Linked DNA regions of Drosophila melanogaster. The protein of the gene in region 1 interacts with the protein of each later gene in a pairwise test. Each region holds a gene or a part of one and is shown in the gene's direction. Other genes may lie near its edges. The genes, in order: RpL15, CG13405 and CG4213.

Region 1 (3,619 bases):
TATTAGCGAAAATTTAAAAAAAAAATCGAGTAGCTCTGCATATAGTAAGCTTTACTCAAACGGATTAGAGAAATTAAAAGGAAAATTAAAAAAGTTTTCTTCCCACCATCAAATTGGAATATAAGAAAATAATTCTACTGAATCTAATTTAAATTTAAAATTTAAAATTTAAGTCAAAAGACTTAATAAATATTTTACATAATTAAAGCATAGACAAAGGGAATTATTATAACTGCTGTAATTTGAATAAATAAATAAACCATAAATTTAAAAAAAAAGTCAGTACATTGAGAAAAAAAATATTTCATAAAAATAAAACATAGTAGAAAATAAATAAAAATATGAAATCTGTTTAGTGCAAAAGTTATATCTGGAGGCACTGAGTGCGGACACAAGCTATCATCAATCATTGTTGTCATAATTTCTCACACCTCGCAAACGTAATACTCTAATTTGTGACATTTAAATAGATTCGGTTAATACTACAATATTTCTATGCTATATTTAAATAATAATAGCACTAAGGCAATGCAGAGAAAACATATTTCACATGATGCCAATTGACCGAAATTATTATAGTTATTATTATAAATTAGTTATTATATAAATTATTATAGTTATTCTAGTGCCAGCAACCGGCTGCAGAGCTCTCCGGTCTCTGGCTCTGACTGTTGTTATTCTAGTGCCTATGCAAATAACATTTGTCGCTTATGAAATTGGTTACTTTCAAAACATTTTTAAATCTGAACCTGTATATCGGTATCAAAAATATAATCGTGCATGATCCGGTAATCGAATTCGTATGAATTTTATGATTCCGCTTTTGGTCGTAAACCAATTTTGACTTTTGTCTGGCCGAAATGTAAAAATGCCTTTTAATACCCGTTATTTGTAGAGTAAAAGACTTACTGGATTCGTTGAAAATTATGTAACAAGCAGAAAGAGCGTTTACGACTATACAAAACATATTATTGAACAGGATCAATAGCCGAGTCGATCTAGCCATGTACGTCTGTCTATATGAACATCGAGATCTCAGCATACAGGTTCTAGAGGCAAAGACGCAGCGCAAGTTTGGTGACCCGCCCACTCTAACGCACGCAAACCTCCAAAAACTGGCACGCCTACACTTTTGAAGAACGTGTTGTTTATTTTTAACATTTTAATTATTTTTATAATTTTTTTTATTTGCAACAAAATTTTTTCGCACTAGCTGAGGAACGGGTATCTGATAGGCGAGGAACTCGCCTCCGATGTGACAAGCACACATTTGCTGTCGACAACAACAAATTTCGATTTGCTAAGGTGTCGCTAAGTACGTCGTCAAAAGTTATTGCGGGAAAACGAAACAGGCAGGTAAAAATATTTATACCATATATTAAAATGCTTTCATTAAAAAATAAATAAAAACTGTGAAAAATGGGGTAGCTATTTTGTATGAAAAACAATTGCAAACAGCAATTTCTGCGTCCGTCTGGCTTCAAAACAAACGATTTCAAATATATAAAGGATATCTTCACGTTGTTTGATTTTGACAAAGAAAAAAGTCAGTTGTTTGAGCAGCAAGAAACGAAATAAAGCGAAATAGCATAGAAATAACGCATAGCACTATAGCAAAAATTATTTGAAAACCAGAGCACCTAATAACGAAATTAAAAGACTTTTCCCAAATCGAATGCGATAAGATAAATTAACATGGAACGGAACATGCTGGGATGTTTTAAAAATAATACAATTCTGTGAGAAAGGGGTATAATTCCGTTTTACAATGTTTCATGCATTAGGGTAAGTATATCCCAAAGCAACTCTGAGCTTGTTTGTCGTGTGATCCAACTCATTGCTTCCTTCTTTTGGAATATTTCCGTGCTGTAAGTTGGTTGTGCATTCGGGTCAATAATTTTTCTTTAGTACGAGATCATTTCGGAAATAAGTTTATATATTATTTTCGGTCCTTTTAAAATGTTTTTAAGTTTGTATGATGATTTTTTCCATGCACCACTCTGAGCTCAGTGTAGATTATGGATATCTGACGGATGTTATGTTCGTTTTTGTACTCACATTGCTATGTAACATTGATACGAATTATTATCTGTTCTAGATTGTAATATGTACAGTTTAAGAAGTTGATGGACCGATGATGTGACAGTTATAAAATAAATAATGAATTTGTTACTAGGTCTATCAAATTGCAGAGATGGGGGCTTATCGGTACATGCAGGAACTTTATAGGAAGAAGCAGAGCGATGTGATGCGCTACTTGCTACGTATTCGCGTTTGGCAATACCGCCAACTAACGAAATTGCATCGTTCGCCAAGACCTACTCGCCCGGATAAAGCAAGACGTTTAGGATACAGAGCCAAACAGGGGTTCGTGATTTATAGAATCCGTGTTCGCCGCGGAGGTCGCAAGCGTCCAGTTCCCAAAGGATGCACTTATGGCAAGCCGAAGAGTCATGGTGTAAACCAGTTAAAACCATATCGTGGTTTGCAATCCATTGCTGAGGTAAGAAAAAACGAAATTTGCTAACCACACGTTCGAACAAGTTGATGACAACCCCTTTTGACATACAATATATGTTGACATTAACTTCCTTAGATGTCTGAAATATTCTTGTCCAATTAAGAGGTCCTCACCAAAAAACACTGAAATATATCATGAATTTTATTTTCTTGTAGGAACGTGTTGGTCGTAGACTTGGCGGCTTGCGAGTTTTGAACTCGTATTGGATTGCGCAAGATGCTTCTTATAAATATTTTGAAGTAATCTTAATTGATACTCATCACAGTGCTATTCGTCGTGATCCAAAAATTAACTGGATCTGCAAGCATGTCCACAAGCATCGTGAATTGCGTGGCCTTACATCAGCTGGAAAAAGTTCGCGTGGCATTGGCAAGGGATATAGATACTCCCAGACAATTGGTGGATCTAGGCGTGCTGCTTGGAAGCGCAAGAACCGTGAGCACATGCACAGAAAACGATAAATTGTGAAGCATTTATTTTATCGGTTAAATAAAGCACTTCGTGCACGCAAAGAACATATCTAAAAAATATATTTTTTGAAAAGAGCTTTTAAACGCAAAAATAGATATAGTAACAGGTTTTCGCATTTTTGGTTTGGCATATTGGTTTATTAGGAATTTTGGTTTAAAATATAAAATTTCTTTCATCTACATTAACTTCCAGTTTTTATTTTCAAAAATGTACTAAGACCATTTTTCGGCAAGACTCCAATTCTTTTACAAAAAATTTTAAAATATATGCAAATAATCCCTTTTTCGTTTAGCGGATCTAACAAAAAAGTACCTCAAGGTTGAGCAAAAAATCTCATTTGAACGACGATGGGCACGCAAACGTATTTTTGCTTGTTATAGCTCTTCTGCTTCATATCTAAAAAATGCCATATCGAAAGATATTGGAAAATGAAACAATATTAAATTTAAAAAAATGTTCAAAAGCGAGGGCGTGGTTGTTTTGGGACTTATGTAGGTGTAAGAACGGGCGTGGCGGCTTGTATTTAAATAATATTAAAACGTTTTTTGAAAAGCTTAAGCGTGACAACATTCGGAAACACAATTGCGCTGCGCTTATTGTGTTTCTGAAAGCTGCAGGCTTAATCTC
Region 2 (3,757 bases), about 27 Mb from region 1:
TTGTTTGCCCTTTTTTTGTGCAAAAATTGATTTTTCTTCTGGGTCTGCCCCGCTCACATTTCCACCTCCTCCCTTCGCTGCCATCCCTTGAGCGTGTCAGAGTTCATCATTACGCCCGTCTAATGTCAAAGATTGTCAACCTTCGCTGAGCGGTTGTGTTTAAATATTACAAATACGACATGTTGTCATGCCACATGAAGACCGGCTTACTAGAAAGGGCGGTCTCAACAAACCCTATTCTCACACCATCACACGACTTTTTTATTACGTCCCCTTTTAAATTATGCTCTGTGAATGGGAATGATTAAAATAATAACAAAAAAGGAAATCAAGCGACGAAATAATATACTGAGTTGACAATACGTTTAAGAGGCCATTTTAAAATAAAAGTTTACCAGGACAGAGAGAGTAGAGTGCCTCGACTACAAGATACCTCTCACTCAGGTGATAATCGGGGTGGCAACTCACTGAAACAAACTGCGACAGCATACGCTGCGGAAGGAAAATGCACAATAAATGGAAATAGAAAAGTTTAATTGAAACTCATTCAAAAAAAAAAAAAAAACAATCAAAGCATGCTAAGGATCTCTATATCTGAAACAGATGCTCTCTACAAAATAGTTGCAGTGAAAAATGGCAAGAGAGTGGGCAAAGAAAAGCGCAGAAGGAGAAAGGCTTCATGATGAAGGATGCTTGTTGTTTGCTGCAGTTAAATTAAATGAAAAAGTTTAAAACTTTTTTAATGAAACCATTTTATTCAGTAGAGGCATAAACAAAAAAACAGTCCCCATTCCGTTGTAACAATAGCACAAAAAAGATGCAAGACAAAGGAAAACAAAAGTCTGAGCGGAAGAAAAACTTGATGCAACTTGCATGGTCTGAAAGGAATCAAAAAAAAAAAAAAAAAAAAAAGAATAAAATGTCCCAATAAAAATCAAAATATGTATGAGACTTAAAGGGGGTGGCCTATGCTTGCTTTCAACTTTGTAAATTAAATTGCCCGTTATTTGATTTAAAATGGGCGGCGCAGTCTTTTTGAGCTTAAGTGACGTATGCGTAATCTGAATGGGGAGCTAATCGAAAAGCCACCTTGATACGGACGATAAAACCCATAGGCTCTGGCTATGGGTGTTCGCTTCTAATGCAACTGTCGCTTTCAGGGACTCGCAAGCAATTGGTAATTACGCCAAAAATTAAACAGGGACGTAATCAAGAAAACATCAAGGATAAAAGCTTAAGCTTGGACCAAACAAGGTGCTTATTATTTAATTAAGTAAATTCAAATAAATTAAATTAAATAAATAAATAAATTTAAATTTGTATATCCCTATATCGACATATTCAATTTCTTTGCTAAACATTGTTCTCTACATTTTTGTCTTTCATTGCACACAACTTTGCAGGTACATTTTGCGTACATATTGTGCATTCCTATTATGCCATTCAATGCACCAGTTTGATATTAAAACAGCAACTTGTGTCGCTGGGCCAGTTATCAAATACATACCCTTTCTTTCCTGGCTTACAGGTTGTAATCTGTTAGAATTCACGTCTTAACTACCGGTAGTACGATGAAACGACCCTGCTGCGAGATAAACATTATGCCAAATTAAAATGCATTCTGTAGTTTCTATAATTAATGCGAACGCATGCCGTCGAGTGGTGCGCTTTGAAACGTAATCCACCGGATCCAGCCACAAGAAATCACTGAGTCAATAAAAGCGTGAAATAAGAGAGATGAGATTGTAGAAGGAATGAAGTTAACGGCGCAACAGCTATCATGATGGCAGAAGAACAATAAATCGTATATGAAAAGATCTAATAACGAGGGAAACGGAAACGGAAGTTATTGAAGTGCTAAAAAAAATGGCGAACTGAAATAATAAAAGTAGTTGTTGTGTGCAGTAAACTGAGATTTTACTGGCTCTAAGGTGTGGAGTTTTATGTTTACGTTTGTCGATCACATGATAAATCTACTACAACAATTTGTATTTGATTTATATATCAAAATTTGGTTTATTAAAGTATTTCATAATTATGTAAACTAATACCCCTGCATCGCTTAATACAATTTATCCCTAACATCCGAAGCAATGTCTGATGTGGAGCAAGAAGCCTCTGGAGACGTTGATAATGAGCAAAATGAAGGACAAGAAGCTGCTGAAGATTTTGAGGGAGAGGGCGAAGGAGACGAACAGGACGTTGAAGAGGAAGATAAGTTCGAGGTGGAGGAGAAGGATCCCTTTGAGCTCCTCAATGAGAGCGATGAAGACGATGAAGAGCAACAGGCAATGTACAAGGAGTATCAGGAGGTGGTCAACGCTATTGATGCGCAGAACAGGATTATAAAAGAGCTCAAGGCAAAGTCCAATCGACTGATGTTCAAGAAGTGCAAGACTTATAGAGACAAGCAGGAATACAAACAACTTAGGGTCTGTCAGGAGCATGAGGAGATCCATTTAAAGGTTCTCGTGAATAGAGCCATGCACCTCCAAAACTTCGGTTCACCTAGGCGCTACAGAGATATAGAAATGGAAGTCACAGAGGACGAGAAGAGCTACTTTTATACTGAACTACAATCGACCTTATCAGGCTTTTGTCCCACGGATTCGGCTGACGAATATGAGTCGGATTCTGAATCGGATAATGGACTATGTTGTACCTAGTTTCCTAGCGGAGTTTCCGAAAATTGACGGGGAAAAGTTATGAAAATACTTGAATAATTGTGGAATATCTTCATATTTTACATATATACATATCTACACATATCAACGACACTGCACTCAATAAAATGGGAAAGGATGGAGGGAATGTGAATAAAAAATGCAAGAAAATTTCAATAAAATGCAAGTAAATGCAAAATTTAATTTAATCCCTCGATTTCTAAAATATCTGCCTAGCACTTCTTTTAGCTGGGTTTAATAGTCAAGAGTCCAGACGTGGAGTAGCCAAATAGCGGGAAAGTGTAGAGCAATAGCAATAAGCGCAAAAACAAGACGATTGTGCCCCCAGACAGAATAAGGGGATCAAAGCAAAACAGCCATAAACAAATAACCGAAGAGGCACAGAAAGACGCCAGTAGACGAGAATGAATCGAAACGAACTGAATTGAACCAAAACTTCTCTCGATGATTTCTTCGTTCCCTCCTCCTTCTTTTATTATGCCTCAATTCTCACTCTCCGCCAAGTGCCACGCCCATTGTGGCGCTTGATGGGGAACACTTCGCAAAAACGAGATAGTTTGACGTTTTCTACACAACTGGTCACTGTTTAAATTTTATTTACATTTAGAAAGATTTGGAGAAAAGTGAAATGTAAATTATTTCGATTAAAAGATAATTTATGTGGACTTGCAACTTAGAAATTTATGGTTTAACCCTAAGGTGGAAAATTCAAAAGCGCGATTTTAGAAGGGGAATGTTGTCGGCGCCAAATTCGCCAACCCAATGTGCAGAAGCAGCGGCTTCGACCGCGTTGCGACGTCACCTTGCGTCCATTCACCCCGTTCATCATTGTTTATGAGTGTGTGCCCAGACACAAAAACAAGCACACATTAACGTATACAGCAAAATTCCTTTAACTGTGCTTCGATTCCATTCCATTTTCCATCTGGTTCTGTTTCTGTTTTTTGGACCTCTGCCTTGGGTCTTCTGTTCATGTCTCTTCGCCCCCCCCCCCCCCCCCCACCCAATTCTCCAACCCTACTGCGTTCTCCCGCTTGTTGTTATTGCACTGTCTGCGGCTTGGGTATTTTTTA
Region 3 (3,757 bases), on another chromosome or scaffold:
CAAGTTGTATAAAAGCAAATATAATTTATTTGCAACGTCTGACATATTGTGCACATACGGCAATAACCATTTAGCATTTGCAAAGGCATCCGGTATGTAGAACACAACTCCTGCGGAAATGAGACTTTGCAACAGGATGTGCCAACGTGTTGCTCTGGCAATGAAGTTGTTGCATTGTTGTGAGCCACATAGGTGGCGTATGTATGCACATATGTATGTATGTGCATATTAATCTGAAGCACCCTCCCCAAAATACGCCATCTAAAGCTTCTAAGAAGCAGTTTTGTCGAATACTTGGGCTTAAACCCCACTGACTGGCACATTAATGTCTAATGACTGCGAGAATATGAAAATTTTACTAACATTATATTTCGTCTTAAGATAGGTGTTAATCAAGGCTGATGCCAGATTTCTTAATTTTTCTTGTATTGGAATTGCCAAATTACTTTGTTGGGTTTTAACGTGAAAACATGAAGTGGTTGTGGGAACATCAAGAAAATATCATCAATTTGAGATGGTTCAGGGGCTAATGGAAAAGGAAAGAACCCCAATCTGAACGCAGTCACTCCGGTTTATTATTCCATTATAATGAACACAATGGATTTCTTGCAACTTATTTTGGGCAGAGCGTCCTTGATGCCTGGTTCTTGTATCCTTGCTACTTTCAACTTTCGCTGCACATTTGCCTGTGTGCAATCTCTGCAAAAGCTGAGGGCGTTCCTGGGGCCCAACTTTTGCCTGGCGCTTCAAGTTTTTAGCAGAATTTTTTCCCTTTTGAGTCGCTACAAACAACAGAGAAACCTAGAACTAAGGGGCAGAGCGAGGCGCCATGGCAAATTGCATTGTTGATTTTCATTTTCAAGCCTGGCGACACTTTGCCAAATGTGTGCGCCATCCTTCCTTCCTACCCCGGAAAACCCTTCACCGTCCTTGGTTTGGAATCGTTGCTGCGTGTTTCCCACTTTTCAAATGCGCGCACTGGGGGAAAAAAACAGGAAGTTGGCGTGGCCAGTGCAAAAATCAGCTAGCAAATGGATTTTCATTTGAAACTTTCGCGCGAAAGATTTTCATTGAGTTCGGGGGTGCGCGGGATACCCTATGCCACTATCACAAATTGGTTAATAAAGGTCCAGAGATTTATTCTCTTTAACGAAGTGATAATGGTCAACGAATGTGGGTCAGACAGGGGTGCGCTAAGAAAAGTTTGTGATCGTGTATGAATTGAAAAATGAATAGGATTGTGCTGTATTTAACCTTGAACATGTGTTCATACTCACCCAGAGTTTTTACCTAATACCAAAACTGAGAGTAATGCTAATTCTTTTGTATGCTTTTTATATGTAATTAAAGTTCCTGATGTTAGGAAACATCGTCTTCAAAACAGTGCAGATCATTCACCTAGTAAGTGTTGCGGATCTTTCTCTTTCAGCTCTTGACAACTGGTCTTGATCTTCATTTCTTGACAGGCGATGTGGCAAGAGTTTTGTTTTGTTTTACCCCTTACTCATAATTAAAATGACGCTTGTGTATAATTTTAGACGGATTCATCTGACACGTTCTTCTAATTAAAATGTGCATAAAACTAAAAAGAACAATTAAGAATGTGAAGGGAAGAGTCCTAAGAAGACTCTCAGACATCTTGCCAAACCCTCAACATAACAAGAATCTCTAATGCTCGAAAACAAAGCATTTTATGTTGGGAGTGCCGCCGAGAGAAGCCAAATTCGTTTGAAAGCAGGAGAGATCGTAGTGGGTTAAAAATAGCAGAATCTATTCAATGTTTTCTCAGTTTTTCCCGAGCTGGCTAACCGAAAAGTTGCGTTCGACCGTCGAACGGATAGAAATTAGAACCCGAAAATTTTCCAACGTCACGTATACATATAGAAGTTTATCATATGTATACTAGATATTTAGTTTAGTTACGTTTCTCCTTTTCCGTATCTTTCGAAGTTCAATGTGCAAGTGAAGAATATTTAATGGAAATCGGGACATTATTTTTTCTCGAACATCCTTGGTTGAAAAGTGAAAGTCAATAGATAATTGCGAAATCTGCAAACTCGTGTGTGATCGTCGCACACAAATATAGACACCGATTTTTGTTGGTATTTTCCCCTGCTGGTATTGGTGCCATATCAATTGGTGGCGATCTGTAGATCGGTGGATCTTGGGCTTTCTTTGTGCCGACAAAGAGTTCTTCTCTAGAAGAAAAGTCGCATTAAAGCGAATCGTAAATTTAACGCTCGCCAGGCGAATCTGCATTGGTAAACAGATCATCACAACCGCATACCACAGCTCGTTCGTCTTTGTTCTGTTGGTAAAGATGGGAAATGCCGAGTCCACACAGTCTGCGGATGATACGCAAATGCAGATGCAGCAGTCCACTGATGACGAGCCCTGGTGGAACAACATCGAGCACGAGGATCTCATTCTGGAACAGGCCCCCCGAGCCACAACCCAAAAAGAAGCTGAGGAGGTACTTCCCGAAAATAGAGTGAAATATCGTGAGAATAAAGTTGCAATTGAAATGGAGGACAAAGGAAATGAGACCCATCAACGAGAACAGACCCTCGAAGAGTTCAGAGAAGAGCTTCGTCAGAAAAAAGAGGTTCGCCAAAATGCTGTGCAGGGCCTGAGGGATGAAATTGCTAGTCTTAAAGAACAATTGGCCATAGAAAAATCTGAGAATCAACGTCTTAGAAAAGTTACGGCTACAGACGGTCAAGCCGATAATCAGCACGACCATTCGAATAGTCCCAGTAAGCCTGATGCAGATCCAGATGATGAGAATCCCAGTTCCAGGAGCCGCCATGCCAATATCGAACTGGCCAATGCTCAGTTGGCTTTGCAGCAGGCACAGGCCGAGAATTTGTCATTGCGTGGAGAAGTGGAAGTGGTTCAACGCCAGGTAGGAACCCTGAAGGAGGTCATCTCCTGCTGCAAGCAGATGCTGAGCGTGAAGGAGGAACAGTGTGCTCAGGTGAGCTAGTAATGCAGGTCGTATAGAAATCAAGATCCATATTAAATAAATGGTTTACTACTAGCTCAAGATGAAGCTGACGGAAATCGAAAACTCTTTTAGTGAGCGCGAAATGAAGATTATGTCGAACAATCTTCGCCAGGAATACGAGCGCCAACTGGTGAATATCCGCCAGTTAAGGCAACTTTATGAAGAGCGACAGAGAGTGGCTGCTGCGGAGTACGAGAATCTCCAGCGCCTAATCTCGATCAAGAGAGACGAACTTACGGCCGAGCAGGATAAGTAAGCGAATTTTCTATCCATTGAACCAAACTTTACTGATCTTTCTTCCTGTACTAGAAATAAAAGCTTGGAGGACCGCAATCACAGCCTTCTCAAAGAGGTGGAGATGGCCAATGAGGAGCTGGCGAAGCTCCGGGAGGAGTGCGGCGAGCACAAGTTTGAGAAGCGTCTGCTTAGTGAGCAAGTGGGTGCAGTTAACATGGTGAGTGCAACTTATATAGACTTATATAGCCATTTTCGTGTAACATCCTTTCATATCCTTTCCCAGCTCTTCAGCCAGCTAATCATGGGGTTCAATGGCAAGAGCAGCATGAACATCGATCGCGTCAATCGAATGCTGGAGGAGAACCGCCACCTCCTCAATCAAATGACCCAAGCGGAGGGAAACTGCAGCGACGGTGCCACTCTGCCCAAGTTGCTCTTCGACCTTGTGGAGCAAGCTACTGGTCATGGAGATTCCGCCGAGGAATCAGATAAAAGTCGCAGCGCCACACCCAC

What was found.
Region 2: the proteins of RpL15 (region 1) and CG13405 interact in a two-hybrid assay, tested with the Drosophila melanogaster proteins (one large-scale study listed by BioGRID).
Region 3: the proteins of RpL15 (region 1) and CG4213 interact in a two-hybrid assay, tested with the Drosophila melanogaster proteins (one large-scale study listed by BioGRID).

Annotation. Positions count from the first base shown.
Region 1 is NT_037436.4:27,265,416-27,269,034, forward strand, and holds RpL15 (ribosomal protein L15), read left to right. Parts: upstream 1-1,839; 5' UTR 1,840-2,108; exon of another isoform or gene 2,109-2,176; 5' UTR 2,177-2,194; coding exon 2,195-2,503; intron 2,504-2,538; exon of another isoform or gene 2,539-2,608; intron 2,609-2,676; coding exon 2,677-2,982; 3' UTR 2,983-3,030; downstream 3,031-3,619.
Region 2 is NT_037436.4:73,547-77,303, reverse strand, and holds CG13405 (uncharacterized protein), read left to right. Parts: upstream 1-1,971; 5' UTR 1,972-2,093; coding exon 2,094-2,666; 3' UTR 2,667-2,850; intron 2,851-2,912; 3' UTR 2,913-3,359; downstream 3,360-3,757.
Region 3 is NT_033779.5:400,227-403,983, reverse strand, and holds the start of CG4213 (uncharacterized protein), read left to right. Parts: upstream 1-1,785; 5' UTR 1,786-2,320; coding exon 2,321-2,977; intron 2,978-3,041; coding exon 3,042-3,259; intron 3,260-3,316; coding exon 3,317-3,461; intron 3,462-3,527; coding exon 3,528-3,757.